Styela clava: one gene and its partners. Each later gene encodes a partner of the first gene's protein in a complex. Links are inferred from orthologs where the notes say so. Each region holds a gene or a part of one and is shown in the gene's direction. Other genes may lie near its edges. The genes, in order: THO complex subunit 2-like, SAP domain-containing ribonucleoprotein-like, THO complex subunit 6 homolog and THO complex subunit 5 homolog.

Region 1 (8,453 bases):
AAGCAACAGATATTTAACCTGTTCATTCAATTGTGACAGAACAATCAGCTTTTGCTATCCAATGGAAAACCAATCACTATAGCAACAGAAGTGTGGTTTCCTGATTATCCGAGTCCCGAAGCATCGCGGACAAATGTTGGTGTTGTTGTCGATAAAGATCCAGAGTATGCAGATCAGGGAATGTTCAATCGTTCACCATCCCACTCATTCCACGGTGTCATCTGTGAAATATAAAACCAGATCAAAACCTGACAGAACTTTGTTGACGATTCAATGATAAAAAAGACAAAAACAGTTAAATGACTGTTGTTATCTATATAGATTTCATTAAAATTTTTGTTCGCTTTTCTATGGCCGTTGTTCTAAATGTTCAAATTATGATAGGTCCATGTCTGATTATGCAAAATTTATAAGCTGCCCATGAACGATCCGATCTTAAATTACTCTTCAATTTCACTAAATCGCATATTTTTACAAAGACTGTTTTCCAAGCATTAAAACCTTTAAAACGTGATTTTATTTATGAGAGGAGACTAAATTACGTGTTTATAAAAGTTAAATTACTGATATTTTTACTTATGCATTATTATTCCACACTGAAGTTGGCCTGTGATTAGAATTAGACAAAGGCCATACAAGTATGTTCGTCCTATTATAAATGAAACTTGCTTTTTACTTATTATTACTCACTTTCAGTGGCAGAATTCAAAAAACTAAGAACGGGTTCTCTATTGCACCGAACTCGCTAACAACGGGTTCTCTCATTTTAGAGAAACATACTGAACTAAATCATAAAAAAACAGGAACGGTTTGCAAGAGCCTCTTGAATCCTGCCACTGCTTACTTATATATTGTTTCTATACTATTATTTTATTATTAACCGTATAACCCATGTCTTGAATTGGTCGCCTTGTCTATTGAAACGCGTTCAGTTTATATATTCAGTTAATAAATTCATAGCTGTCTCCATGTGATTTCTGTATATAACCAAACATGATAATAAACATTGATTCGATCAGTTGTTGGTTTTTTTTGTTCTTGTTCTGAACCAGTAAGTCAGTTATTAGAGAAGCGAATGAAAACCGGATATCTGAGAAAGGCGTTGGGTCTACTTGCCTTGGCAACACAAATCCCTTCAAGATCTGAGACGGAATGCTTTGAACTCGAATTTTTCGTCTAAATTATTTTGTTTTAAAGATATGACATCCTCATCGCAACCAAACGCCATCATCACATTTTGCGATGAAGTCGCCCTAGTTTGCGGCTAATCCCATCTCCCATGCTCGACATGGACCGGTAACCGGAAGAGAGACCGTACTTTGCTATAGAATTAACTCTTTAAACCGCATTATCGGTTTTCCTTTCTCTGGGATAAATGAGAAAATCCTATTTATTAATGAGTGTTACTATGCTTTAAAAAAATAAACAAAATCTCTCAATAGGGAATCCCACGTAACACCCCTGTTACACGATCTTTTGAAACCTGTAGAAATAAAATGTTTCCAAGCACACTTCGACGTCATAGATCATAGAACCCCTAAGGCCCAATGTTACTCAACAGCACAGCTTTCGTGCACCGATCGGCCGGTTAGGTGGGATTCTTGACAAGATCCTGAAAAGCCTGGAAACATCAGATCATAAATGACGAACGCCGATTGGTGTTAAATAAATGGTGAGTTGGCTTCTTAGTTACCTTGATATAGATTACTAAGTTGTATGAATTGAGAATCTAGAGTGAATACTGACCCGACATACGAAGGTCTACATTTGATGTATCACCGGTGTCACATCGGGATTAGTCATACAACTAGAATAAATAAATCTGCATGTGACACCGTTGACAAAATAATTGCACGCATTCACATTATAGCCTTGGACTTCCTTTTTCTTGCTTGGTCAGGCCACTAACCATATCTATTCTTTTTTCTAGAACATGGCATCGATTGTGTCAAGCAGCTCGCGGGGAACTAGAATCGCAAGAGTGTATAATGCTAATGATATTCTTGTCATTTTCAACTGTGATGATAATGATGCTGGAGGCACTAGTAGTGGGTCAGATAGTGAATACGATATCAGAAAAGACGAAAACAACAGCTCCCAGGTTCATAATATTTTCAAATATTGATTACATAGTTTCTTCTCACGATCAATTATCGCTCACAGACACCGAAAATAGTTTCTGACAAATATCTTTCTCACTCATTGATCGAAACCATAAATAATATTGTTTTTTGTTTTCATTTCATGATATTTCATTTTACAGGTCGAGTCCGAAAGTTCTGACGACGACATTCCTTTGACGAGTCTAGGAGTGCAAAATCAAAAACAAAGCCAAATAGAAAATGCAACCGACCGCAATGAGTTTCGGTGGAGAAAGAAACAATTCGACAGACCTGATGCAACATTCTCCGGCCCCCAATTGGATCCTCCTGCTGACATGATTGTAGATACGCCATTGCGTTATTGCCGAGGTTTTGTGACAGAGGAAATGCTGCAACTTCTGACAGAACAAACAAATCTCTACATTGTTCAAAAGAATGGTATTTTGGTCAAAACAAACAAAAAGGAAATTGAGCAGATATTAGGAATGTATTTGCACATGGGTATAGTGCAGATGCACAGTGTTAGAATGTATTGGGAAACTTCAACATTTTTTGAACCAGTGAGTGGAGTGATGTCTCGCAACCGCTTTCAAACATTGCTGAGAATTCCGCATTTTGTAAACAATTTGACTGTGTCTGACAACGAAAAACACTCTGACAAGCTATGGAAGATTTGTCCATGGCTAACAATGTTCAAAGATGCATGCTTACAGGTTACAGCCGAGGAATACAACTCTGTTGACGATATGATGTGCCAGTATAAAGGCACGACAAGTTCCATACGTCAGTACCTGAAGAGTAAGCCTCATCCGTGGGGTTTTAAGATCTGGGGAAGGGGGATATGAGTGGAATTCTATACGACTTTGATCTCTACCAGGGTGGTACCGGTGAACGCACAGAGTTAGGACAAGGTGCGGACGTTTTTCTCAAGCTGACATCAACATTGTCATACCATGCAAACTACAAGATATTTGCTGATAACCTTCTTAGCAGCTTTCCATTCATTCAAAAATTATCAGAGCGAGGAATGCATTATGTTGGGATCGTGAGAAAAAAACGTCTACCCAGCTGTAACCTGGACGATGAAAAAAAATTAAAGAAAAAGTCAGGGGGGATTATGACTTCAGAGTTGGGGAAAACAATAACATAGCCGTAAGATGGTATGACAACAGGGCAGTGTCACTACTATCTTCGTACGTAGGAGTGGAGCCAATTGATCAAATCAGACGATGGGACAGACGAACTAAACAGCATGTGTACATACCCATGCCTGCTATCGTGCAAGAATATAATAAGTTTATGGGAGGTATTGATAAATTGGATTCATTTCTTGCAAAGTACAGGTTTCGAATGAAACCAAAAAAGATGGTATCTTTATCTCTTTTGGCATATAAAATAGTGACTATTGTGAATGCCTGGCTCTGGTACCGTCATGATTGTCCCCTGCTCCGTCTTCCAACGTCATATTTTATGAAACGGCGACATTTTCAAGCAGCAGTCGCAAGCGCTTTGATCTATGACCTATGTCAATACTAACACCCGTCGCGGGAGACCATCGTCTAAAGTTGAAGAAATTTGCAGCCTCTCAAGGTAATTATCCAAGGCCCCATGTGAAGATATCCGCCGAGACAAATACGCACACTGGCCAAAGAAAATTGAGAAAAGGGGAAGATGCAAATTGTGTGAACGCAATCAAATAAATACCAGCTGTTTAAAGTGTAAAGTGAGACTTTGTTTTGTCGAAGTTCGCAATTGTTTTATGACTTCCCACGCCTGAGGAATTGGAACAATGAGTTATTCTCAGGTAATCGTTTCTGCAGTTTTTTAAGTTTTTATTTCATGCTTGCTTTATGCGCAAATGATTCGCCGATATTGCTTTTTGAGTTCGTTCGTTAAATGTTGAAATAAAAATGTGAGACTTCAACATCAATTTTTCACATTTGTATACAGTGTAAATCCCATGGACCTTTCCCCGGGCATCGACTTCCTTGTTTACTTCGTGACATTGGCCAATCAGCAAGATGCAAAAAGTGACGTGCCAATGCTCTCTTTTCGCATTCGCTCAGACACTTTTCTCACTCAGACAAATTTTCAAGCGTGGTCGTAAACATTACCTCATTTTTGCGTTTTTGAACTTTATTCGTTAGTGTTTAGTTGTGTTTCGGAAACTTAAATATAAATCAGATAATTCAATGATTACTCTGTCTTCCTACGAGTTTTCATTTAATTGCAGTTTCAAAAATTAGTGTAGAAATAGCTGTGATAGACTATGCTAAAATTCTTTACCGGTACTTTTAAAAAACAGATTGTTGTATGCGATGAATTATAATGATGGTTTAAAACACATACCCCATTTTACAGGCACCAACTCGCAAAACCACTCCTAAAATAGCCCCGAAAATTTTGCAATGGTAAAGTATAGAAAGAATTTTTGGGGGTTAAAGGTCGGGGAAAGGTCCATTGTAACAGCGCGGCGGTGTAGCTCAACGGGCAAAGCGTTAGAAATACGCTCGCCACCGCACCTCTAATTACTCTGCGTGGGTTCGCAGGTTTGAATCCCATGCAGGGATGGTTATGTGCGAGAGGATTGCTGGACTCCTCGCCGTCGTTGGGTGGTTCACGTAACCGCTGGTCGGTTACGGCTTCCTCCACCACCAAGTCCATGCTTCCGAAAACAAACAATATAACTAATCCCATACGCGACTTGGAATGGTAACCGGACGAGAGGCCGTGATTCGCCATATGGATAATCCGTCTTATCGGCTTTCTCCTCTTCCGGGATAAATATGTAAATCCTATCCTATCCTAACACATATGTCACATTTTCAAATTAGGGTTAAATTAGTTCAAAGATCAAAATGAGATAAATGTGTGCTCAACATGGTCAAAAATGGACTAAGAATCCCAAATATCAGATTTTTCCTTCAACTTTATCATTGTCTGGGCTCCCCGTGGTTTAAAAAAATCCCCCTCGCAACTTCTTACGCGGTTGAAATAGAAAGCACATCCGGATTCGTAAATCTTGACTCTTAATTCGGTTCACTAAAACGGCATTGGATTTCGCTCTTAGTTGTTTCAGCGTTTGCGTGTGTTTACCAGCTGGTTTGTCTGGAAACATGATTCAAAACAACAAACATTTCAAGTTTGTGACGAAAGAAATTGCTAAAGAATGGGAGAAATCTGGAAAAGCAGAAATGTAAGCTGTACTACAGTTGTTTAGTTTTGTTTATTGGTGTTTATGGCATGTTGAAACCTCATTCCTGCATTTGGGTCATTTCAAGTTTACGTAAAGTTTTTTAGTTTGTATTTATCGTTACAGCAAAACAAACAAATATACAGAAAATCGGAAAAAAGGGGCAAAATCTTAAAAAAGCTTTAGAAAGTGCACCAATAGTCAAGAGTATGCGGACTCACATACCTGTAGAGTTATCAGAGGTGTAGTGCATATTCTCTTAGCTGCTTGGGGCAATGTGGCACACCGCCTAGTCATATGTGCTGTCATATTTTGATACCATGTTTAAAATAAATTATCTATTCGTGGGTACTGATATACCTGCTTAGTTTAAGTTTAGTGAGTTTAATTTGAACTAAACATATGTTCCAAGATTTTTATCCAGCGTCACACAGGCTTTTTTTCTTAATTACCTTTGAAATTTCAAGTCACATTTTTGTTAGGCGTTATTTAAGCAGTTAGTGTGGGATATACTGGTGTGGGCCTAGGCTGTAGGTCTTGCGTTTCTCTGCCAGTCCAGTAGAGAAAAAAATGTTTTGGGAAAATAAGAAGCGTTCTTGTTATTTCATCTCTGGCAACTAAAACAACTCTGTGCAGTTTTGCAATTTTGAATTCCTTGTTGGCTCTATATTGTCCTCGAGTAGTGTACATAACACAGTTAGTTAATTGCGAGGCCATTTATGATTAGACTGCCTCATTGGCTTTCTCTACTTTCAGGATAAATATGAATTCTATATTACTTTGCTATTTTTTTTTTCAGAATCAGCAAATGTGAGCATTTCATCTCAGCCCAGAAAAGACCAGTAGAAGTCGTTCAAGGAAAAGGTGATATTTCGCCTTTATTTATGATAATTTTACCAAATAATCAGGCTTGGAGCTGCGCTATGCATTCTCCTCAAGAAAGTTCACTTCGCCGCTAGTCAGGTACGGCTTCCTCCATCATCAAGTCCCATGATCCCCAAAACAAATACTTAACTAATCACGTCTTGACATGGGATGGTAACAGAACGAGAGGCCGTGGTTCGCCATATAATTAACCCATCCTATCGGCTTTCCTCTCCCCTGGGATAATTATGTAAATCCTGTACTAAATCTAAACAGCAGTTTGTACTTTGTGCCTGTTATGTATGTTAACCCCAGATGTGGTCACCTATGTTTGAATTCTTTGGGGGATAAATATGCATGTCCGGAAAATTTGCTGTAGGGTTGGAAGATTTTTTATTAAAGTAAAAAGGTACTTCATATACCTGACTGATTCTATCACAAATACTTGTTTTACAGCATAATGCGGCGATTTTCATGCGATGATTTTTCCTATGCGGCAAAATTTCCTACAACTATGAATGTCAAGGATTATAAGACTATTCACTGTTGGAGTAATTCATGCAACCGCTGGTTGATTATTATTCGCAACAATATCTCAGTCTTTGCATCTGATAAATAGCTAACTAATCTCATACCTGGCATTGACTGGTAACTGACTGAGAGACTTTGGTTCGCCATCTGATTAAGCCACCTTATCAGCTTTCCTCTCTTCTTGATATTCATGGGAATTATATTTTAAACTATTCAAATTTTTTCAGATGTTCGTAGAATCTTTTACGAAGTCGTTCGTCAAGTTTTGGCGAAATGTCTCAAGAACGAACAGCTGGTCGGATTAATCAGTGCCCTGAAGGTTTGTTTTCTGTTTTGTTTTCACACTTTTTCCCAGCTCTGGTCAAGAAGCCACTGATATAAAGAACTACTGTTTGTGAATGAATCTTTTTGGTTTGAAATTGGTTATCTTGTGGAATGGTAACTGAATGCAGGGGCGTGGTAACTGAATGCAGGGGCGTGGCCAGAAATTTTTGAAGGGGGGTTCTGAAATTTTTATTTGCCAAATTAGATCGAAACGACTAGTGGGGACGACCGAACGCTGGAATACGAGTGTTTTCATCAGTCTTAAGCAGACATGGGCAAAGTACGGCCCGAGGGTCAAATCCGGCCTGCTAGGTAATACAATCTGGACCGCCCAATGCTGCCACAACCAAACTAAAACCAAATTTCGATGTTTTAGAAGAAAAATAGCTGAAGGAATTTGTTAAGGTTACGATTTAATTTAGTTTGGCACGAGGCTTATTGTTTTACACTCTTGCTTTTGTAACACTGTAAATATTCTTCATAAAATGTAACATTCACGTCGCACTTACATGGCCCGCCAGTCGAGATCGGGCAAAATTTTTGGCCCCTTGTCCAAAACCGTGCCCACCCCTGGTCTTGAGGGTCTAGGAAGCATTCCAAGCTATGAGATATTGCTATATAGGATACACAATGATGATTTTTTTTTACATTTCAAAAGAGTGGGGGTTAACCCCCAAAACCACACCCTTGCTACGCCCCTAACTGAATGGGAGGCTGTTGTTATTTTTAAAAATTAGACTCCATTAACTTTTACGATCTTAAAGAAATAACTTCTTAAAGGCTTAGTTCGCGGAATGATTAAACTTATATTTTTTACCCGTTTTATCGTAGCAAAAACAAACATGAAAATCTTCTTATTCATGATCCCACTTGATATAAAAAATAATCTTCTCGGGTTTCATTAATTACGAATGTACTTTGGGGTGTACTAGGGTATTGGTTCCCTGCTGCCCTGGATGTCCTTTTACTCATAATGGGTGCCCAGTACTGCATTTCATTACGCAAATATATGGTATTATTTTATGTTTCACACATTTCAATTTTTGTCTGGCACATTATTTGATAGTTTTTCTTCGTGGGGATATGTTTTTAAGTGTTCCTTTTATATGTATATATACACAAATATATGTTATTCTTTTCTGTTCCGTTCATTACTCATCGATCTTATTAAGATCGGTAAGTATGTTGATAGGTATTTGTCTATCTGTATGTCTGTTAGATGAACGCGATATCTCACGAACGCGAGGTTGAATCTGCTCCAAACTTTTCATGTGCAATCATCATATCTCAGACCAGACCTATTGATTTTGGGTTAATTATGTCGTATAATTAGTGAGTTATTAATCGGTCTCCGACTGATATTCTCGTTTCTATTTTTTGCCGGTCCGTGAGTACATTTAATTTTATCGGTCCGCCAGGGTAGAAAGATTGGGAACCAC
Region 2 (7,861 bases), on another chromosome or scaffold:
GTATCATTTCATGTCGGGTACGGGACTAGTTAGTTATTTGTTTTCGGGAGCATGGACTTGATGGTGGCTGGTCGGTTACGTGAACCACCCTACGTCGGCGAGAAGTCGAGCAATCCTCTCGCACATAACCATCCCTGCATGGGATTCGAATCTGCAAACCCACGCAGACTAATCAGAGGTGCGATGGCGAGCGTATTCCTGACGAGTAGCACCATGAGCCGCCTTGCCGAAAGGAAAAAGTGAAACGATAAAAATGACTACAAAAGTACAAGGCCGCAGCCAAAAACAAGAGACAAACGAAAAAAAATAGGGTCGCAGCCAAAACAAGTGAGAGAGGAAGTCAAAAAAAAAATTTGAGCCAAAAACAAGGGAGAAAAAAAGAAAACAATAGGGTCGGAGCCGAAATAAGAGGGGGCGGAAGACTAAGTCAAAACAGAAATTGACGAGCATGGAGGGAAAATTGCACCAGCGAGCCAACGTTGATATTTTTTAGTTGGTCAACAGCGGGAAAAGTGCGGCCTCGTAGCACGAGAGAAAGATATTTCATTTTCACAACACAATGTTAAATAGAATGGAATAATGCTGATTTTTATAGTAATACAGTACATTGAACAACTTAAACATTTAATTGTGTAGGACTTTTGTGGGTCATAGAGGCTCTTGACCATTTTGTTTACACTGTGATCATAGGGTAACTTTTTTTTATGTATCCTGGCAAATCCAGGTGTCGCATAAGGGGGTGACTGAAATATCTGGCTGATCTTTGATTCGTGGAAAACTATTCGAAAACGCGCAACTCTCAGTGTGTCTTCCAATGCCACAAATATCAATAATGTTGTACAAAATAATTTGATATATTGCAATAAAATCTAGACAAACAGTTCGCGATATTTGGATGAGGTTTTCACAAGGTGTAGTGTGAAGTTAATGAAGTGTAGTATAGCGATGCGAAGATAGCGAAGCGATTTTCTGATTTTAAATAAAAATATTCGAATACAGATCATGTAAAACAATAATGTATTGGAGCTCTTGCAAGCTTAAATTGTTAATCAAAGTAATTATTATTCAGACAATAATAATGTTGATCACAAATTAATATCGAACCAACACATCCAGACATCACTACTGAGGCAAATATCAACAGAACCAGTGATGTAGAATACCAAATTACAATCTTACCAAAACGTTTTGTGCCAGGCAATAACAAATTAAACTTTAAAACAGCGTTTCCCAACCTCTTTTTGGTCGCGGACTTATTCCTCATTAGCGAAAACCTTTGCGGACTCAAGGTGCATTTCTTGCAACCGTACTCTGTGTGAAGAAGCAATAAAACCAAATACAACGGAATTTTAACGAATTTCATAATCGGAAATTTGCCGCAATTGAGCGTTCGTTAAAATGGCCGAATTTTTTAAAGAAGTAATGCCTTAGCCATTAAAGAACACGTCGTCACCATTTTAGCCAATAAAAACACGTTTTGACGTTGTAGATGAGTTTAAGGTTGTGGACAGACACGGAGAGCAAACGATGAAGACAACATTAGAACATCGAGAGACGAGACGACACTTATCAAGACGACTCCTAATACCAGACCTTTCAACACATTCCTTTCTTCAATACCTTACTCCCAAATATCCAATTGAAACCTTTCTATGAATTTTAACTAAAATAACGAATTTATCCCTAAAATGCTTTCATCTTTTCGTAAGTGGACGCAACCGCGAGTTACCATGAACACGATTGAATTAAAATAGAAAGACATTTTAAATTCTCGTAGTTGTCATGGATTGGATATTGTGCGACAGAAAAGGCCATTATACATTAAAATTCCACGGCAATCTGCGAATATACTAATGTGAGAATATGTTACCCGATTATATTTAGTTTTGATACATAATTTTTGCGATCTTGTGAATTCGACAAATCTGAAACAAAACTTACGGCGCTCCAGTACTGTAGCCTACATACCAATGTGGAGGCAGTAAAGCAAAGTATCCTAAGGGAAAATGCCCTTGTACGTATACTATGGTGGCACCGGAAATTTTGCGATTTGCAATGTAAAAAAGTGTTTTCAATCGGTTGCGGACTACCATAAAACAAAACTTATGGTGTTCTCCGTGTTATCTATAGTAGTTTGTATTGCCGCTTTTCAATTTAGAAAATTTGGGTTGCCACCATTGACACCTACCAGAAAAAAAATTATTTCTGGTTGTTCGCACTCGCGAGAAACACTACTTACGTATCTATCGACGCGCGTGCCGACTGGTGTTTTCGTAGAAAATTAGCAATTGTTTGGTTAGGCGACGCGCAGGTGACCTGTCACGCCACCTGTTGCCGAATTTTCGAATAGAAAATTGCTATTCTAATAGTTGAATATTCGAATATATATATGCCAAGCCCTACTCAGTAACCAGAAATTATTGACTGGATTAAGTGATATGAATAAACTTATTTTTTTATGTTTTATGTAAATTCTAACATAAATCATAACTTGGCTGATAGTTAGGTCTCGCAAAAACGTTTGCGGCCCGCAGTGAATTTCTGGCCCGTTGTGGACTCATTCAAACGCTCCGCGGACTCATTTGAGACCGCGGACTCGGGTTGGGAAACACTGCTTTAAAATATACAGAAACAACGTCAATTTCGGTTCAGGAATCAATCAGATTATAGTCTATTTCTAGCTTACTTAAAATTCCACAATAAAAGTTACAGCAGTTATATGTACCAATAACATAAGCCTGTAGAACGGGCAATTAATTATCCCTACAACTGGACGTAAACCTAACTAATATAACACATAAAACTGCTAGACTTGCGAACAATAACCAACAACTACCGCCAAAACAGGGCAGTGAGACTACAGCGTTGTCAGATCCCAGTGATCGGAAAAAGACAAATCAAGACGAAAAAAGCTAACAATTCTACTAAGTACAAAAGCCCTATGATTTGTCTGATTTGATGCCCTTAGCACAATAATGGGTTTGCAATAGGCTGACGTAGAGCCATCAGGTCATTTGGTGAGCCACATAAATGTCTTTTCCCATTGAAAGTTGTATTTTCGGTTGCTATCATGGCGATTTCCACTTCGGCGGGATGTGGGGTTTAAGAATAAAAAAGATTATTTAAATGGCAGCACCAGAATCTACATTCGACACAATACAATTAAGCTGACATCTGTATGAAAATTGGATTGGATTGTGACAATATAAAATTGTAAAAAGCAAGAAATAGTGTCAGCGACGTCATACAAAAAGTCAATCTTTACTTGAATTATGGGAATTTATTTATTACAGGTGTGATACGTGTGCAAATCGAGCAAGTGTCTTAGGTACCCGTAATGAATTTAATTTAAATGCAATTAAAGAGGCTCATGACTGTAGTAAATGTCATAGCAACTGAAAATGGGACGTCATATTACGCGTATCAAATTGCTAGCGCTATTTAAAACATGAAACATATTTTACCTAAATCTTGGGCTTCGGGGGCGTCTTTATTCTAGCTTGACTGCAACTGTCTGATACCAGTAGTATATATTAATCTCCAACCTTCATTGTCACCAAGAAGGGCAATCAAATCCCGAGGCAAATGAAAATCAAACTCAGAACTCAAACCGTCTTATGCCACCTCGTGGTCTGAAAAGTCTGTGGGTCGTTTAGCATCGACTGATTGAGCACTTACCTCAGTGTGTCGCTGGTTTGGTGAATACATCATTCCCGTGATATTTTTGTTTTTACAATCTTATGCAATATGCTGAGATGTAGATTGCCTAAGTTAATACAGTGTGAGTGGGGAATAATATATAGAAAATCCATTCCCAGATAGTCTTATTGAAGTTTATTATTTTTGAATTTGCAATGTCAATCTGATTAATTCAAGCTACCGTATTTTCTGAAATTATAAAATGTTTATTGATGTACAAGGGAATTTGATTTCGACCCTAGATCTAAATTGCAGACTAGTTCAACAACTAGGCTAAGTCTGTAAGCTGAGCTAGCCTTCTCAGACAGTCAGACCTTGTTATTTTCCAATGAACTGCCCACAGCTCTGGACAGGTTGACAGCAGTACTTCTGTACTTAGGATCATTATAAGATAATATTTACATATTCATTTCACTATATTTACGTCAATAAATTCATGCCAAATTTGGAATAAATTACAGTGATATGATTGATTTCATGGCACATGCATATAATTTTTTCATCAATCGAATTATTTATCTGTTTTAATTGCATTAAATGCTGTGACCAATCACTATGCCACTAAGTACTGAAATATATAACTTCGAATGGTGATTATTTGTGTCACGCAACATAGATGGAAAAGTTTGTGCATGAAGATGAAAAAATTTCCAGATGTTCAAGCCACAGATCCATGTCGCAAGGATAATGATAACTAATTTACTAACTAACTATAATAATTACAATAGAGTATATAACTAACTAATTTATTAATTACAATAGAATAAAGTATGAACGTGGTAAAGTGGAATAACGGCTGATATTTTCGTTTTACTTTTAACAGTTTATTGTACCGGACTCTTGATGTTAAATAACACGATAAAACTCATAGTTGACATTATACTATTTTGTTTTTTTTTCTGGAAAAATCTCACAACGCGGGCCGCAAAAAATGCTTTGCGGGTCGCGTGTTGGAGACCCCTGCTCTAAAATCTGAAAATATCGATTCGACATCTTTCATTTAATAAATTGTTTTCCATAAATTCATTAAATGGAACTCACTTGCAATTGATTGTTTGCAGCAATGCTGGTTATGTTATTTATATTTACCCAGTACAGCAGTATTATCTGAATAATGACCTTTGGATAATGACCATTGCTTTCATTTGCAGTATCATTTCAACTACCGTAAGCAATAAAACTATAATAAAAATGGCATCAGAAGATGAAGTTGTGATTGATCTCAGTAAAATGAGAATTCCTGAGTTAAAGAAGGAATTACAGTTGAGAGGGTTGAAGACTGGAGGCAATAAACACGACCTAATTGAACGACTTCAACAATACTTGGAGGAACATGAAGGTGCAGAGGTTGCGGATGATGAGATATTAAAAGAGGATGAAGAAGAATCATTAATAGATGATCAAAAACTAGAGGATTCTGTTTTATCAGCTCCTCTTGAACAAACTAAAGAAAAAGTGCCGAATGACACTGAGAGCGTTGAAACTGAAAATGACAAAAAGATAGAGGAAGAAGAGGATTCATTAACTGAAAATATTAAAGACTTGCATTCTCCAACTGGCTTATCTGATGCTGATAAACTGAAAATTCGTGCACAAAAATTTGGTGTCACCGTATCTGACATGAACGCTGACGCAAGAAAAGCTGCACGATCCGAAAGATTCGGAACAGGTAAAGGGATAGGTACTACACCTGGTGCGGACCCTGATAAACTCAAAAAACGGGCCGAAAGGTTTGGGGGTGCCGTCTCCAGTACCTTAAGTACTAATGAAGAAGATGAAAAACGGAGGAAACGACAAGCTAGGTTTGGTATTGAAACATCTGGTACAATAACAGGTGAAGATGTTGATAAAAAGAAAAAGAGGGCTGAAAGGTTCGGGCTGACTGTTTGAAGCAGAGTTACCTTATTACCTCATTCCATGCATGTGCATTGTTGATAGGCCCCTTTGATCGTATGTGTGATACACACCTAGGTATCCTAATTTCATCTGCATACAAGTTCAAATTGGTTTAAGACAATCTGTGTTTTATTAATGTTGTATTGTTCTCACTAGTGAGAACCATATTAGTTGAATTTAAATTGAATTTGAGTTCTCTGATGTCCACTACCGCTGCTTAGTCTACTCAATCATAGCAACTTTTGAACTGTTCTGTTGGGTGATGGTTTTTGTAACTTTGGCCTTGGCCTTGGAAAAAGTATTGGTATGCATCATGGTCCTCTGTTGCATTGTAGTTGTACAATTTACAATAGGCATATTTAATGGTACCAATTTTACTGTTTTATTAAATGACACACAAACAGGGTGATTATACTAGTAGTCGCTAGCAGTTATTTTGACATTACAACCTCGATGTTACATTCTATACTTAGTATTGAAAATTATATAACAGAATTCGATTTATAACATGGTATTGTTGCACTATATCACATTTCTTATATCTATAAATTCTTTAAATACTGATTATGACTCGAGCATAATAAATTTGTATATGGTAAATGGAAAATGAAGCTATTTCCCTAACGTATCCAAAAACTGGTGTCCATTCTTGATCACCTACTTGGGGCATCAAGATGACAATTCTCTAGATGGAAATATTCTGAAATAAAGAATACTTTGTTGTAAATTATAACTAATTTTACATCAGCTTGAATTTTCATTTTTCTTCAAACATATCTGCATTCAAATCTCGATCCGCATTTTTTCTGGGCGTTGTACAGTCCTATTCCTAAAATTTAGATTATTATACAGTTTATTATATCATTTGCAATCCATGGAAATAATTCTGTATACTTGGCTGCTTGATTGTTACGTCACTAGTCTTGAAAATATTGGTCAAATTATTTTGGAATTTCATTTTCAATCCAATGTGTTTTTATCTTGATATATTGAATATCGCCACCGAACTTTACATCAAACTTTGAAATTCATGATTAATTTCTTTGTTGTTACCATTTTGTCTAGATTTAATAATAATATAGCGGCTACTCAATAATAACTATGATGGGAGAAATAAACTGAAAATTGGAGAACCTATATTATAGCGAGAGTGGTATCAAGTCACAGGAGATGACTAGACTAAATATGAGCACATTACTAAAAAATAAATGTGGTGTAGGGGCTGGGGCCATAAATGTGGTATTCTGAAATTCACTCAATGTTTTGCTTATGAGTAATTTATTCTGTCTGAATCTTTAACTTATTGAAAAAATTAGTTATCCAATAAGACTTAACACCAAATATTGTAATAAATTGTACTGGCAAAACTGTACTAAACTAAATTAGTAAACTGATTGTATCAAATGAAGAATGCTGATAAAGGCTGTAAATCGTCAGATACCTGGGTACACGAAAGGTGAGATTTTACAATCATTTTTTTCAATAATATGTAAGCTATTTTAAGTGATTGAATATTGTTTTATTGCTATTTGACCATTGAAGCTTTTTTGGTATTCATACAAAACATTTAAGGTTTAAACTTTGCTAATCTATAGTATATTGGCAGTTTGCTATTGTTATGTGCAATTTTCCAGGTAGCGAAGATTCATGGTGTGGATCATATACGTTCATACATGGATCAGATCCACAGTTTGGATTTATAGATCTCATTAAAGGTGGAGGAGGTAATGTTTTCAATAATTCTTTTTTTTTTCTTAATTTTCTTTTTGGATAAGGTTGTATGGGTCAATACATTAGCTGATGTAATTTGCCAGTTGTTTTACTTTCCCGTCTCTATGCATATTCTAGAATATGAATTCTGACGTGACCTCTTCAACGAATTTATTTGGGTATACAATGCTTTCTATGTCTCTTCTTTTGATAAATTAAAAATTAATCGATATAAGAAATAAAAGGCTTGCCTCTGCTAGTGTTGTTGTACCATAGAAGATAGAACCATATGCTTATTTCTGAATGTGCCATAGTATACAACTTACCGTAATTCATATTCTTCTTGGTATAATGCAGTGAATAATTCATTCAGTTAGGTTCTTTTAGTAAACAAAATCCACATGATCCTTGATTGCTCAAAAAATAGGTTTATTTTTTAGTTTGCCAGTGATCACCGCAATATGTTTTTATTCAGGCAAGAAATGGGATACAGAGATCAAGCTTCTCAAAGATGCAATATCAGCGATCAATAAAATGTCACCAAGACCTAAATTTT
Region 3 (7,790 bases), on another chromosome or scaffold:
TCCCGGTAATTTTATAATAGTACTTGATATAATTTGGCTAGTTTGGGCTTCAATTTGGTGAGTGAAGGACACGCATTGGTAACGTTATAAACGTTTGTATAACGTCTCAATCCGCCATTTTGTGTCCAAAGTTCTATCGCTGTATGATTCCTTACTAAGTGATTTAAACCTGCGATCGTTAAACGAATGAACATTCTTTTGAAATGAATTCGACTCGATAAATCAACACCAAATAAGGCAAAAATATTGAACAAAGAGATACACATTTTATTATAAAAATTCTGATGTAAGTATCGTTACTTGCATAAAACTTATTTTAACAAACTGACAATACAAACTACACTACAGAAACTTGCAACTATTTGTAGCCTACATAATATTGAAATCTGCGTATCGCAAATTTTCAACAGGGTGTAGATTGCCTAAATATATTGAAAAAATATACTACATGCAATGAATGCAGAATAACGGTATATATCATAGTTACAAGAACATATAATAATATAGAGTGTATGAAATAATATATTATCTATTTGACTCTGTATTCGTGCTGCAGTTTTACTAGCGTACTGTTTTTCAATTTTCCTTTGTCACCTCTTTTGCGTGAATATTCAACCAAAATTTTAAAAGCGGCATAGTGGCCAGATGAGAAATTATATTTCGAGCAGTCGACTTTATCTGTCAGAAAAGTAACCGGCGACCATATATTATGAAAGGCATTAATACGATTTCTCTTTGGATGGGTGGCACAAATATTGGGTAAAACTATCGTTTTTTAAATTTTTATCATGTGTGGCCAAAAAAGAGTTAGTTACGATTATGGGCGTTCATCGGGATTGACACTTTCCATAGAAACAAGCGCATCTCTGCAGATTCCACAGTCTCGTTTTTTCACTTCTTTGAGCACAGCCTAACCTGTTAAATAATCGCAACTTTCACGAACCCACACGATACCAGTATTGTTCCACTAGCGGTCGGAGACTTACGACCTATCGATCTTCCGCATGTTCCCTTCACTCTGACTTAATAGCGACACCACGTGTTCCATCACTAATTAAATAATACGACATAATCCATCCAAAACCAATAGGCTTTTGGTCCGAGATATGATGAATGCTCATACAATATTTGGAGCAGATTCAATCTCGCTTTCGTAAGATATCGCGTAACATACGGAAGTGTCTAATAGACAAACGAAAATATCGGTCAGAGACCGAAGACTAATCGATCGAAAGTTAGCGTATCCCCCAAAACAAAAACTGCGGTTTCGATCCATCCGTTATGACTCCATAGCGACACCGTGTGTCCCATCACTAATTAATTTATAACTCGCTAATTATACGACATATTTCATCCAAAATCGATAGGCTTCTGGTCCGAGATATAATGAATGCACAAAATTTGGAGCAGATTCAACCTTGCTCGTGAGATATCGCGTAACATATTAAAGTGTCTAACAGATAGACAAACAAACAAATACCTATCAACATACTTACCGATCGAGATCGATAAATAACAAACAGACAAATACCTATCAACATACTTACCAATCGAGATCGATAAGTAATAACTAGGGCTGGGAATGGTTAACCGGTTAACCGATTTCATATGGTTAACGGTTATGATTTATTTTAACCGTTAACTGACATCTCAGGTACAAATCATCTTTATACCGTACAATTTCGTCAAATATGATTACATCATCGCAAATTCATCTTTTGCGGCGTTTAATTCAAAAAAATATTACTAACTGTGTGGGTAAGGAATCAATAAATGTGAAAAATAATGGAAGCACCAAGGTTGCTAATAATGAAAATTTACAATGATGAATTCAGAATCAGTTTTCAGAAATATATTGTTCACGATTTCATTGCAAAATCGGATATTCAATGTCATACAATAAGTGTACAGTTGATGCCGTTTTTCTTTATGATATATATCTCGAAGTAGAATTTGCACATAGAACACTCAAAATTTGTCGGGTTTTCTAAAATATTTCCACATGCCCGAACGACGCTGCCTATATTTTGCAGCATAGGAATCATGAAACTATCTCGATTCGTGAATAATTTTGAGTGATGGCGGGATAAGAACACGTGAAATTGTTTTATAACCATTGTGACGTAACAAACTGAAATTAGAATTATGACGTCAAACATCACGCGGCGGTTAACCGGTTAATTTTACCCGGTTAACGGTCAAAGTGTTTCCCTAAAATTCCCAGCCCTAGTAATAACACATCTTCAGACAAATTGGGGAACGAAACCTGATCAGCGGACTGACGAAGCTAAATCAAACAGAGGCTGCCGCGTTTCGCCGGACACAAAACGGCGTCGGATATGCATCATTGCACTCATTGTTAGCAATTGGGTTATAATAGTCAGTGGTGAGATTCAACAGGTTCGCACCGATTCGTTGTAACATACTTTTGTAACAGAACCGACTGAAAAATATGGCTTTTGTGATGGAACCGGCTGACAAAAAAAAATTGAATCCCACCACTGGTATGTATGTATGTTTGTTTGTCTCGTAAAAGTAACAAACGCATATATAGATTATCATTACTGAAGACGGGATGTATGCACAAGACCATACTGGCCTAAAACACGAACGTGGAGCATGCACCCCGTTTGAAAATTTTTAAAAAGTAGTAAATCGAATACATATAATATGGTCTCTTATACAGACAGTTGTGCAAGAAGTGTGGGTGGGTGTGGTAATAGAGGTAAGGGTGGAGTATACAAAACTGTTTGTACAGGAGTGTTTGTGAGAAAAGACAACATCTATAAATACGACATAACACCACACAAAATGAACTAAATAAATAATACTAAATTTAGAATTTGGACAAAAATACACCCTTGATTGACGGTATCATGGTCATGTTTAAACAAGAGTTAGTGTTCAATATCATGTATATGGTATGGACTACTCAAGTGTGATCGTGACTTTAGTAGACTATGGCTATTCTAGCAAAAAGTTTTGGTGAAATGGGATAAAAATATGTATCAACTTATCTCTATATTTTCTAATCATAAATATAATCAGCAAAGATCTGGATTTATAACAAAGCATTTCCCCAAACTTGTGGTGGTTTCACTTTTGGCAGAACGTTAAAGAGGTTTAGAAGTGCAATGCAAATGAGAATATTAATATATAAATGAATATATATGGTTATAGTCACATTGGTCTAGTCCACCTCTCCATGCATCCATCCAACTTGGCAATTCTGATTGGGCAATTTGGCATATAAGTGACTCCAACTATAATCAACTTCAAATGATAATACCTTTCTATCTAAAGTCTGTACTCTTCAAACCTTACTTGAGGTTTTGTTTGCTTTCCGATTCTATAATCAGTGCTATTTATTTTGTTTTTATCAATCATTTTATCGTCTATTATATTGATTATGGAGTCGAAAAAAATGATAAAAGAATAAGTATAAAGAATTTGAACCAGTTTATAAGCGCTAACTCACGAAAGCACTCTCAAAACAAGAGAGCTATGCTCAAATATGTGGAGACGCAGCGCCACCTAGTGGCAAATGTCGATGACGTCATGGCACACATAAAAAACGAATCCCATGCAGTTCACCGGGATATTTGAAAAATAAAAGTAATACCCTTCTAGCGAAAAATTTAATCTTTGAGTACTGAAAATTCCAAAGCGATTGGTCCGGTAATCAAGAAGAAGAAAAAGAGTACCAGCATAAAATGCAAAACGATCGTTATGAGAGAGAGAGAAAGAATTTATTGCTTTTGTCAAACCAGAAAAACAAAACGATCATAATATATATTCACAAAATAAGAATTCAGAGTTTTCGGTTTATGACTGGGAGAAAACGATACGACCGATAAGGTCATCAGAGTCTGTCCACTAACGTGTCCAATAACAAACAAATTTTGCAGGGGCAGGTACTGTATATGAAGATTTTTTCTGGAAGATTTTTTTTATATATGAGGGCTACTTGTATATTTGCAAAAACTGCCTTTTATTTGTCAGGCTGATTTATTGCTGCTCCCAATAATTTCATCGTTTACCTATTTTAATATTGGGTTTAAGTTTTTAATATGCCACAGTTGTTGTCTTGTTTGAAAGGCTTACTAATAATAGTTATTCAACCTAAATTGCATTTATATATATGACTATTGATCGTATGTTTACCAAAATTGTTTCTTAATTGGGGTATATAATAATTTTTCAGTCACCCATTTGCCAAAAATCTTTCTTGTTGCTTATCGATTTTAATCGGTAAGTATGTTGATGGCTATTTGTCTGTCTGTCTGTTAGATGCACGCGATATCTCACGAAAACGAGATTGAATCTGCTCCAGATTTCTCATGTGCATTCATCATATCTCGGACCAGAACCCTATTGATTTTGGGCGAATTATGTCGTATAATTGGCGAGTTAATAATTAAATAGTGATGGGACACAAGGTGTCACTATGGAGAGCGCTTTTTTGGGGGATCCCCTAACTTTTGATCGATAGTCCTCCGTCTCTGACCGATATTCTCGTTGTAAGGTTGATTCCTCTCTTGAAACAATTGTTTTACATGAGTACCATGTTGTTTATCTCCTATTTATTCGTACATGTAAGGCTGGTTCCTTGCTGATTCGAATAATTGTTATGTGTCCAAATTTACATTTGAGTATAGTAGTCCAATAGCCAAAATTGTTTTTTATTTGTGGGGCTCACTACTCACTTTCAAATAATAGTGTAATAGTTGAAAATTTGCCCAAACTGTTTCATTTCACAAATCTCATCATTTAAAAATTGATTTCACAGGGAAAAAAATTAATTACTTTTATTTACTTCATTTTTATGTTTGTTTTTTTCAAATTTTGTGTCGTGAACTTCAACCATTTTTAATAGCCATATTTTACTGTGAATTTATCAGCGTAAACTTGGAGGGGGCTGACTTCGATGACCGCATGGTCGTTGTCGTATCGCTCCTTCCAGTCTATACCGAAAAAAGCGTACTTTTTTTATAGCCATTATTTATTTGTTATTATGACTGTTTTTTTTTCTGGTTGACTAAATAAATCTCTCTCTCTATCTCTCTGGAGTCGAGGGTGACAGTTATGGAATGAAGCATGGGGATAAATGTCGTGTCTTGGCGTATCCCGCAAGATGGTGCGCAAGATTCGCGGGGAAACTTGATAATTTCAGGATATGAACAAGCCGGGCATGTGGAGAGAATTTAGGTAATTTTCACTCGGAAAGAAGGCGGTGCCGGTACAGAAGACGTATACGGACATGCGATATATATATAAGTTATGAGGAACTAAGGTCTTAACATTAGGCAGTATACTAGTGATACCGGTAATATTCACAATTTGCCCCCGCATGAGCTCATGTCTGCATGTGCCTTACTGCTGTAGTCTACCTTACTGACTCTTCTTCTAATGCTGTAATGTGTCATGCAGTGATCCAATTTGTTGATATACAATTCATATTACAATAAACTTAATTTACCTACTTATTTATATTCGTTTCTTCAGACTATGGATTCAAGACACTTGCTGTGTACAACTGTGTATTCCACTGTATTTTCTCCTTGTGGGAAGTTTGTTGCTGCAGCAAATAATTTTGGACATATATCTCTGTTTAATTTTGAGAAAGCAGTCACACTCAATTCTCTTAAGTGGCAAAAATCAATTATTACATTCAAAGCCCATGATGGCCCAATACATTCACTGGTGTCCACGAAAGACTGCCTCTTAAGTGGAGGAGTTGGGCCAGTGGCAGCTTGGAAATGGAATGATATATTAGAAAGGAAACCGGCAAAAGTTTATACTCTGCATGAACCATCACAAGGAGATGAAGGATCATTTTCTTCAAATGACGTAAATGTTCTTGCTTGCGACGAGACAAAGCTATATGCTGGAAGAGATGACAATGTAGTGTGTATATGGGACTTTAATTCTGGAAAATGTGAACGGATGCTTATTGGACATACAGAATATATTCATGATATTGCAATTATTTCTCCTAATGGCCTTGTTTCTGCATCAGAAGATGGTAGTGTTAAGGTATGCACTTAATAGTAATGTCTGTATATCATGGCATGCATATCATGATTTTTCATTAAAATTCAGGTTATCTATTTTTACCAATTTATGATTTTGAGTCGATAAGTATCTTGAACAAAAGCGACAGTAAGCCATTAAATCAGCCTCACCCTTGACAACATAACCCTTACTACAGCACTATTCCTTTTAAACTTAAACAATGATTGTTTCAGGTTTGGGACCTTCGTATGGCACAGGCGACAACTACAATTGAGCCGCATCAAAACAAAGAGCTAAGTCGGCCACAATATGGAAAATGGATAAGCTCCGTTGCTACAGATGATAATGGGCAGTGGATGGTTTGTGGAGGAGGACCGAAACTATCACTCTGGCATTTGCGATCTCAAAGTCAAACTGCTGTATTGGATTGCCCTGAGTTCACACCATATACAACAGTGTTCCATGAAAACTTCATAGTTTCTGGTGGAAATACAAACTCTGTACACCACTGGTATACCAATGGTGATGAAAAGGCTTCAATTCCTTGTGGCATTGGAACAGTCTTCTCTCTAACGTTCAATAAAAAGAAAAACACAGACAGTGCACCATTGATTGCCGCAGGAACCAGCCACAAACTGGATGTATTTTGTAACCCAAGTTATAGATCACACACATTAAATCTATGATATGCAGATACCTGCATTGCACATTTATTATAAATTTTCACAACGAGTACGTCAGCTTCATTGGCTACAACGATATACATAGGATGCAAACAATAAAAAATGATTGACTGGTAAAATGCCTACTGCAAATCTAAACTGGCTCAATACAGCTTCAGATTGATTAACACTTGACACCAGTCAGTTAGAAGCAACTAAGAATTTCACAGTGGCAACAACCTGATAATAATCATGCGCAAATCAGCTTATTGGCAATCAATGGATTGACAGTTAGTTGAGATTCAGTACTTAACGAGAGGTATACAATAATATTGGATAGCGAAAGTAATAGCAATTATTCTTGAAGGTTTTGTTTATAAGTAAAGCCACCAGAGGAAAAAATATTATATAGAAATCGTGAGTGATTTGCAACTCACTTAGTCCTGTGGCGATGCATCATAATATTAATACTTGATAAATCAATAAACACAATTAACAAAAAGTAAATGAAGTAAATATTATATCGAAATTGTAAGTGAATGATTTGCAATTCTCATTAAGTCATGTTACAAAATGGCAATGTATTATATAATAGTACTTGATATACCAATAAACACAATTTACAATAAGACGATCAAAACGAATGGTCTAATCCCAATTTAAAATTCCAATAAAGCTGTAAGGTCTGAGAATTCATTTCTGTATGATCGTGAATAAAGTAGAAGAAGAAATGCCCACTTGAATGTTATGAAACACCACACACATGATATATAGAAACTCCCAACAGTAACTCCTGTGAAATAAAAGTATTCGATGTTCAATTCATTACTAAAAAATAAATGTTGCATGCTGCTCGCTCGCTCTGAGTTTTTATGCGGCTCTTTTCGCCAGCAATAATTATATATTGTCCAAATTTAACCAAGGGAAACTGTAGCGTAACAGTTTTTTTTTAATTCATTAAGCAGTTGAAAAAGTTTTCATCAATGATTACGACAAATAATGTTTTAGTATGAAAATTGTAGCGTGTAATTTAAGTCAACAACAAATCTCACATCCCAATGATCAAATGTTTGTTGCTGCGTTGGCGGTTTTAACTACTTCTGATATCGCCTT
Region 4 (8,702 bases), on another chromosome or scaffold:
ACAAATAAACTCATGCTTAAATTATTTCAGTGGTTTGAAAGATCAGGAGAGTTACAGAAACAGATAGCAATGAATCAAATCAAAGTTTATGAAGTTTTGATCAGTCAAGCTCAACATTCGTTGCTCCATCACAGACAATTAATAACACCAATGTTGAAATTATTATCGTCTTGTTCTGAAATGAATTCGGAAGAAGTTGACAGCCATGTTGTTTTGTTGCTGAATCTACTGTGTGTTTGGATTAGTCGTGACCCTACTTTGTTGGAAGTATTTTTTGGTTCATCTGATGATCAAGGAGCAACTAATTTTCTAATTTTTAGCCTTTTAATCGGATTCATTCATAGAGAGGGAAGTATCGGACAGCAAGCGAGAGATGCACTGTTGCTTTGTATCACTATGTCATGTGAGAATGAACGTATTGCAGAATACATTGTCAAAACTGACTTTTGTCCAGTATTGGCTACTGGATTAAGTGGTTTGTATTCAAGTTTGCCTCGTCAAATTGATGTCCGGGCAGATGAATGGCATTTTCTAAGGAAACAGGACTGGAGTCAAGTCCCAGCGCTTGTGAATTTCATGAACTCTTTTGAATTTTGTAATTCTGTTATTGAGGTTTCTTGTGGTGTTGTAAGTGAAAATTTACTAAACTACATATACAATGGTTTTTTAGTCTCTGTTTTTGGACCTGCATTACACAAACCGTCAGCGAGTGAAGTAATTGTTACAACTGCGTATCTCAATCTATTTCTGCAATCTGTGACGGCCCCAGAACTTTTACAATGCTTTCTCAAGTTCTTACTGTGCCACAGGCATGATAATTCACTCATCATCAATACATTGATACAAAGAATTGGGAGCAACAGTAGGCTGGCTGCGGTTTCGTTGTCACTCTTTCGAACGTTGCTAGATTTGGATTGTGAAGATTTGATGCTGCATTTAGTGTTTCGATATTTGATACCATGTCAGCACATACTCGCCAGTCAACATCGCTCAATATGTGATGTAGATATGTACAGTGCATCTGCTCATAGATTTATAAATCTTGCTCCATTATGTTTTAATTTACAAAGCGATAAAACATCTTTGAATAATGAGTTAAGTGAATCACCTTCAGTTATTAACAAATCTGTTAAAGATGTCGCTGTGACAGACGCTGATTCCAAAGAACGCTCAAATTCTCAGGTATCCGCAGGATCAAATAACAGCAATCATAGTGACCAATCAGAAATGATTACGAGCCCCACAACAATGGCAGAGTTTGGCCCGGATCATGACTCTCAAATGTTATTGCATACAAGCTATATGGATTATTTGGAAAGTGCTAATTCTGCTATTGCCTCATGTAAAGAAGCTTGTAAGAATTGGTCGGAGCCTTATAATGGAAAGAATCCTTCTACAGATTCTGTTACAGAAGTGAAGGGTTTAACTGGCAGTATGTCTGCTGGACTTTTGCATGATAAAGCACTGAGTCTCCTGTCTATTAATGATAAAGAAAATCACAAAACACATGCTGAATCTGATCCCTTCCCAATGCAATATCAAAAACTTCAGGGAGCTGAACGAAGCCCAGCATTACATGCCTTAAATGCTACATACCAAGCACTAAATGCAACAGCGCAAGTTCTTAACATTAAAAGGTTGTCAACATTACCAATGAATGGGAACGCTGAAGAGTTGAATCAGGAGATAAATTCTCTGCCCGAAGAACATAAAGAACAAATCACTGATCCAGATCAAAATAATTCTGTTGACGTTTTCAAAGAAGAATCTGATATACCTGAAAAAATTAGGGTTGAAAACGGGTTTTCAGTGAAGGATGATGCTGAAAAAGTATTGGGGAATGGTGTCGAAAATTCAGGCAATGTGAGTGAACAAACCAATGACGAAAAAAATGAGTCTGCTATATCTGATGAAGCAACAGCTAATTCATCATTTGATAATTATGATCCAGATAACAAGGAGAAAGATAACAAACCATCGAATGCTCAGACTTCTTCTGTGGATGAATTTTTCAGGAGGTTAATGGATAGTGTACCAAAAAATGCAAGAGATCGAATTGAAGGAAAAGTGTCATCACCCACTGAAGATACTGGAATTGAATTCCCCATTGAAGATGATTCATTTGCAGAAAGACTGAATAGTACAGCGAGTAATGAACCTGATGGCACTCACCGTCAGGCTAGCGTAAATTCGGAGGATTCCAGTTATGAAAAAAGTTTGGAAGATCATGATGAAAATTGGGAAGATGATAGCATGTCGATTAACTCTTCGTTTTATGAACCAGATTTAGAATACACACCTGCGGAATTTTCTGTCGCTCCCTTAGTGCCACGTCTAAAAATGCATGCCATGCCTTATACAGGTCCGTTTCTAAGTACTTTGTTCGGAAAGTTGGATCAAATGCCGAGCAATTCGCTTTACGAAAACCTTCTGTTGACTGGGATCATATCGAGACTATCTATATATCCTCAACCTCTGATTCGATCTTTTCTTCTAAATACTTATGTCGTTTTTCATCCTGCAGTAAGGTCATTATATCAAGTTCTTACTGGAGTGAAAAATCGTATAGAATCGTATGCCGCAAATGTGGAAAATTTTGATGCGTTGTTGTGCCGGGCAGAAAAATACCTTCTTGCTAGAGGAAATGAAGCAGTTGACACCATTGAACAAAACTTAGTTCAAGATACACCCATGCCGGTACCGAGAGTGAAAACAAGAAATACTGCTCTTGGGGAAGTGTTTTTAAGAAGAAAGCGAAGAAAACCATTGACCCAGAAAGGCTCAAAACTAGATACATTGGTCGAAAAACAAGGAAGGTCATTACAACTGACACAAAAAACAGGATTTGAGGGACAATCCATGTTTTATGCAGTTTCTAACACAAAATTTTTCTCCGCATTAGATAAGCAAAATAATGACACACGAACTAAAAATGTTGTGTTTGCATGTGTGATTCTGCATGAATTTTTAAAGGAATTGGCAGCCATATCTCAAGAACATGCCGTTACATGTGCCTGAAATATGATTACTTGAAAATTTAACTTTTAATAAACATCATGTTGCACTTTATAATATTATAATAAAATAAAAATTCATACTCATAATATTTGCAAATGTTTTATAACTGAATGAAAATATTCATAATTTCTTTACTATCTTTATTGGTACGTTTGTCGGTACGTTGGTTTTAGCACTTTTTTTGGAAATGTTGCTAATATTCGACAAGTCAACAAATTTTTTTCCGTTATATCGTCAAATAATTTTTTGTAGCAATTTATTTGCCAAGTATATTTTGCCTTATTTATATTATGCTAGGGTTTATTGTACAGTAAATTCTTATTAATCTATAAGCATAATACAATACCTAATCTGTCTGATATTGCTGTATATTCTGAGTTGGAAAGTAGAAGAAAAACTAGTAATAGGCCGTATCGTATAAAAGATTTTTTCAATCATTGGTTGACTGAATGATGCGATAAAAATTAAATCAATTATAATACTTGCCTGTTTTTTTAATCCAAGTTGAAATGATATAGCTCATTATCATTTACAAAACTATGTCAAGAGCTTGTCACTTGAGTGCTAAATCTACTTATTGTATTGGAAGATTAAGAACTTGTGTATACTCTCAATATTTTTCAAGTGAGTAAAAAACATCTTATTTAAGACTATAAATTCAAGGTTAATTCCCTCTTCATTTTTTTTAGTCTAGTAATCCAAAAGTGTTGTTGATTTAAAAAAAAAATTATGGTCCTAAATAACACCACATTTTAGTGTATTGAACAGAATGGAAATAGGTTATGTTTCCTTGACTCAGATGGATGCTTTCCTGTTCGTTTTCCAATTCTTTATATATTTTTGATTTTTGCAAATAATGCAATATTGAGAAAATTCGTGAGTCAATATCACTTCTATTTATAAGTTCTATTAGATGACATTCACTGGCTTTTCAAACATACCATATGTAACTTTGGTAGAACTCTAACTTTGAATGATAGGAATGTTTGTGCAAATCAAATCATTACTATTTGAACTATTTGGTGCTTTTTATAATATCTTAATAAGTATTCTTCAATTTCTTATTTGTGAAAATGGCCTATACATATATGGCAAAAAGGCAATATTCCCCCACATTCTTTCTCTGGATAGGTTGGCTATTTATTGGTTTGAGTTAGAACATCGTGGTTAAAACATGGCGAGGCTATGAACGTACAGTGTGAATAACTGAAACAATCATTCAAGGACACCAAGTACTGGTATTACTATATTTGCATATTGTGGTTATTGGCACTTTGTTGTTCATTTATTTAAAAATCCTCATTTTGAATGTGATCCTCTAAAGACAATCAAGAAATCTTTCCTTATACTTTTACACACTTTGCTCAAATGAAAATCAAGCTAGTAGAACTACTGCTGCCATAACCCCAAAATATATTGATCTTATATTCTAAAACAGCAAGAATTTTTAAATAATTTAAACAAATATTTGAGCTTTAAATTGAGTGGCTTATCACATTTTATGAGTGACTTTTCTCCTCTAAAATCTGAATAAATAATGAAGCATGTATATTTTTTTGAATTAGCTTTGATTATCATTGTGTTAATAAGGTATTATTTACTTGTTTCATTTAAACCTAGTAAACCGACACAATGCCAAGATTTGTTACCAGTTTGTACGGGTTCCTTTACATTATAAATTTGAGTTTGATTTTTTTGATTCAAATTCAATATAGATGAAGTGCCTTAAAATTTCAGATTTATATTTTTTGATTAAAATTATATTGTTGTTCTTATTATTTTTGCTTGACGATATTACATCATTTCATCCATCACATTATACGTTTTTATAACAAGATCGCAGGAAAGGATAATGAAACTAGAATATCAAGACTTTTTCTATGAGTCGGTGGTTAATGAGTCACAATTATTGTTATGAACGATAAATTGTATTGTGCCAAAAGGCATTTGTAAATCTTAGTCATGGAAATTTTTCTGTTTTATCCGACATTTAGTTATTTCTCATCCCCATCATTAATTTCCTGGTAATTGGTGATGTAACTCTGGACATTCAGATTTTTACAAGTTTTGAACTGTATTCCTAAGCTCACCATGATGTTATAATCTTAGTTTTTGCAAATGTCTTCGTAATAATGAATGCATGCTTGTGAAAAATGTATATTTTCTTATGTCATCTCAGGTACCATATTGAATTCTTGAAAGTTCTGTTATGTGTCTGATAGGAAAATTAAAAAAAAAAGGATCATAAACTGTAACCACACAGACACAGATATAATATATTGCTCACATATACCGTAATTATTCAGTTTTAGAGTGGTTATGTAGGTTTGAAGTTATTATAAGCGCATGCTAGAACTTTTCAAAATATGTACCAATTATTCTAAAGCACAGATTATAAATTGATGTATTGTACAGAACATGGTTATAGTATGTTTACGTCATCTCCTATTTTTTGTGTTTTCTTGCTGTTGTACCAGCATTCATTTACCGTTATATTATAGGCAAATATATAACCACTCTTGCCTGACAGATGAATTTATTTAGTTGTTGAGTTTTCATTTCAATGTTTTTTCAAATGTATATCATGCAAATCTTTTATGTTATCTTTTTATTTTGTGTGTACGATATACTAGTATTTAGAATAATAATTTGAGAAAAACATGGCGAGCTATAACGAAGCATCTGAAGTACACGCTGAAGATTCCCTCCATGATCTCAATATGTTTTCATCAATCACAAAGGAAATACAGACAATCATGCAACAAATTTCACATCTCAAGTCGAAAACGCCTGACAAAGGGAAAGAGGAAATCAACGAACTACGTCTCACTGGTTCACTCCATTTTATGACGCTGAAAAAACTCAATCGACTTGCACAAATTAGATGTAAAAATGCCAAAGATTCCACGCTGGAAGCGAAGCAAAAATTAGATGCAAATAATCTACGTTTGCAGAATTTGCAATATGAAATAAGCCATCTTGACAGGGAGGTTAATAATTGTTTACAATTCAAGTCAAAACATGAAGATATTGATTTGGTTTCAGTCAATGAGTTTTATACTGAAGCGCCTCCGACAATATCCAAAGAAAATGAGACCAGAACAGATAATCATTTACAAACTCTAGCACGACTGGATTGGGAATTGGAAAATCGCAAAACATTGAAAGAGGAACTAACACAAGCACATGAAAAGAAAGACAAAATATGCGAAGGAATAAAGAAACGCAAACAAGATTTAGACAGCTTAAAACCAAATTTGGAAACGATCTTAAAAAGCACAATGCCATTGCAGGAAGCACTAGGTGATCATTTTACTGAAACAAGGGCACTTTATGACACAGCATATCTTCTTCCTCAGCCTTTGTACGTGCTATTTGTGCAAGCGAAAGCATTCTCCGACGCATGTGACAGAAACATGGATGTACAGATCGGAGGGGATGTCAATGTTGCAAAAAGATTGAAAGATCTGGAAACAAGAAAAGTTGTTGATGCAACTAATTTATATAAGAATCGATATGAAGATGATAGCGATTCTGAAAATGAGGATGATCAGGAAAATAAGAGAGGAAGAAGGAAGAGTACATCTACAAAAGCAGCATCGAGTGAAGTGATGAACATTGACAGTTCAATCTCCAAACATCCGCTCTTTGTTTCGCTCAAAATTTACCTCGAATCGAAGACTGCAAATTCTTCCTATTTGTTGATGAGATTTTACAGCTATGATTCTGAGTTTGTTACTGTTATTCCATCCCTAGAATTGTGTAGCTCATTGAATGAAATCAAGAAATCTCGTGTCATAGCTGCATCGTCCCTTCTGAATGATCTTCAACTAGTTGATAATGGTACATCCATACCTCATAAAGCAACAGGTACTGGAAAACACAGTACTGGAATTTCATTCTCAGAAAATGAGTTTGGTTATGTCTGGGCGCAAAAGTTAGCAGGTTTGGTTGCATTGCAGGATGGTGAAGTAATAAGTAGACAATCCGGTTTTTCTACAATGCATCTTATCATAAAGCTAATTAGGAAACGGATAGAATCTCGTCTCTCACTAGCAAATCAACTCAATGATTATTCAAACAACGTTGTAACATGTGATCCAAGTTTCCGAGAAAATTTTGCACCTGTTGTTCTGTTCAAGCTATCTTCATGGAAGTGCATCGATTTTCATGATTATTCTCAAATGGAATTTACTTCTGCAGCAAGAGAGCTTGATTTAGTGTCGAAAAATGATTACTTCTACTGCGGAACTTTGCAAAGAGGTTCGAGTGCGAATGTAGAGGTAGCAGTTGCTGTGTCCGACAAATATCCAACGAAATGGCCACTGTTCAGAATCCAAGTCTGTTGGCATGGCAACCACACAGCCGAAAATAACCTCAATGTGAGAGAGATAGAAGTTGAAGTGAACTGCAAAATGCCACAGATCGTCATGAAATCCAGAAAGAAATTGCAGAACGAGTTATTGTCAGTGCAGTTATACAGGCTGTTAACTCTGCTTGATATATATGTTGAAACGGACTGCAACATGGACGGTAGCGACATGCCATCTGAATTTCCAACCAGTAAACTATGTCCACGGATGTCAAAAGGAAGGGCACGCCTGAAACCTTTCAAATACAATGCGAGACACAAATTTCAATGCTACTGAGTCATTATGAAGAACCATGTTTAATCAGTCCTTCTGTTCATATAAAAATAGAAGTCCTTCGAGAGTTGGCATTTTTGAATGTTGTAATAATTTTTTACTGAATGTCAGTGCATATAAAATCATATTACTGCCAAATTGTGATGTTTGAATGAATGTGTATGCCAAATACAACTAGTTTCTTTTCATCATGGCCGTCCTTCAATTATTGCTTCATTAGAGCAGTGGGTAGATGATTTTGTTGCAGTTATTTGGAAAAAGTTGAGACCAGGGCTGGGGAGCTGGAGCAAAGCTTACCAACATAGATAAAGCCAGAGCTACCAGAAATTTTAATGTCTCATGCTCCTAACCAGTGTTCCCTCTAAGGTGTGCGCGCGCACACAGCTTTCAGAGACTGCGCACACGCATAGATTTACTGCGCACAGACGTATTTCGATGTAATGTAACAATGTGCTCGGTTGGCAGGTTGAGAAAGTTTGTTGTTGGCCCACTTATTACCCGGTTAGAACGCCAAAATTTCTTTATTGGTTTCTGCACAAATAATAGTCATTTCCAAAAAAGTGTGCACACACCAAAATTTCTGCGCACACATACTACAAAAAATTAGAGGGAACATTGCTCCTAACCATCCAATTATGTAACATTTATGATTTTCTAGTACTCCATACAAATGTTAAAACAAATTCAATTTTCAAATTCTAATAGTTCTGAGTCTCGCTTCCATAAAAATGCATTTGGGGCTGATGTTTAATGGCAGATAAGCAGTGGTTACCTAAAAACCGCAATGGGTATGAAGATTCACTATGATTTGGAACTAGCTACACAGCCCTGGTCGAGGCATGCAATAACATCCCTTTACTACAAACAAGTTTTGTGATGTTAGATCGGGACCATAATACGATTGAATGGATTGGTTGATGATAACCTTTTCAAGACTACGCCCAATTGAGGGTTTGCAGTTATCATTGGATAAACCATTCCTCCCTCAACATGCATGGAAAGGGCTTTATTTATTCTTTGATGGATCATCAGCTAGTG

What was found.
Region 2: THO complex subunit 2-like (region 1) and SAP domain-containing ribonucleoprotein-like share a complex: the UniProt entries of both Homo sapiens proteins name them as parts of the transcription/export (TREX) complex. The link is inferred for Styela clava from reciprocal best matches to the Homo sapiens genes THOC2 and SARNP.
Region 3: THO complex subunit 2-like (region 1) and THO complex subunit 6 homolog share a complex: the UniProt entries of both Homo sapiens proteins name them as parts of the transcription/export (TREX) complex. The link is inferred for Styela clava from reciprocal best matches to the Homo sapiens genes THOC2 and THOC6.
Region 4: THO complex subunit 2-like (region 1) and THO complex subunit 5 homolog share a complex: the UniProt entries of both Homo sapiens proteins name them as parts of the transcription/export (TREX) complex. The link is inferred for Styela clava from reciprocal best matches to the Homo sapiens genes THOC2 and THOC5.

Annotation. Positions count from the first base shown.
Region 1 is NC_135263.1:707,149-715,601, forward strand, and holds the start of THO complex subunit 2-like, read left to right. Parts: upstream 1-5,138; 5' UTR 5,139-5,218; coding exon 5,219-5,298; intron 5,299-6,094; coding exon 6,095-6,159; intron 6,160-6,917; coding exon 6,918-7,009; intron 7,010-8,453. Other genes in the region: uncharacterized protein LOC120341307, read left to right, coding at 40-234. UniProt on the Homo sapiens protein: Component of the THO subcomplex of the TREX complex which is thought to couple mRNA transcription, processing and nuclear export, and which specifically associates with spliced mRNA and not with unspliced pre-mRNA.
Region 2 is NC_135261.1:12,045,438-12,053,298, forward strand, and holds SAP domain-containing ribonucleoprotein-like, read left to right. Parts: upstream 1-4,830; 5' UTR 4,831-4,890; coding exon 4,891-5,589; 3' UTR 5,590-6,661; downstream 6,662-7,861. Other genes in the region: serine/threonine-protein phosphatase CPPED1-like, read left to right, coding at 7,006-7,051, 7,230-7,319, 7,781-7,861. UniProt on the Homo sapiens protein: Binds both single-stranded and double-stranded DNA with higher affinity for the single-stranded form. Specifically binds to scaffold/matrix attachment region DNA. Also binds single-stranded RNA. Enhances RNA unwinding activity of DDX39A.
Region 3 is NC_135252.1:9,988,134-9,995,923, forward strand, and holds THO complex subunit 6 homolog, read left to right. Parts: upstream 1-5,050; 5' UTR 5,051-5,208; intron 5,209-5,505; 5' UTR 5,506-5,508; coding exon 5,509-6,036; intron 6,037-6,248; coding exon 6,249-6,701; 3' UTR 6,702-6,817; downstream 6,818-7,790. Other genes in the region: heme transporter hrg1-A-like, read right to left, coding at 7,337-7,470. UniProt on the Homo sapiens protein: Component of the THO subcomplex of the TREX complex which is thought to couple mRNA transcription, processing and nuclear export, and which specifically associates with spliced mRNA and not with unspliced pre-mRNA.
Region 4 is NC_135253.1:12,733,081-12,741,782, reverse strand, and holds THO complex subunit 5 homolog, read left to right. Parts: upstream 1-5,678; coding exon 5,679-7,667; 3' UTR 7,668-7,852; downstream 7,853-8,702. Other genes in the region: FHF complex subunit HOOK-interacting protein 1B-like, read left to right, coding at 1-3,018. UniProt on the Homo sapiens protein: Component of the THO subcomplex of the TREX complex which is thought to couple mRNA transcription, processing and nuclear export, and which specifically associates with spliced mRNA and not with unspliced pre-mRNA.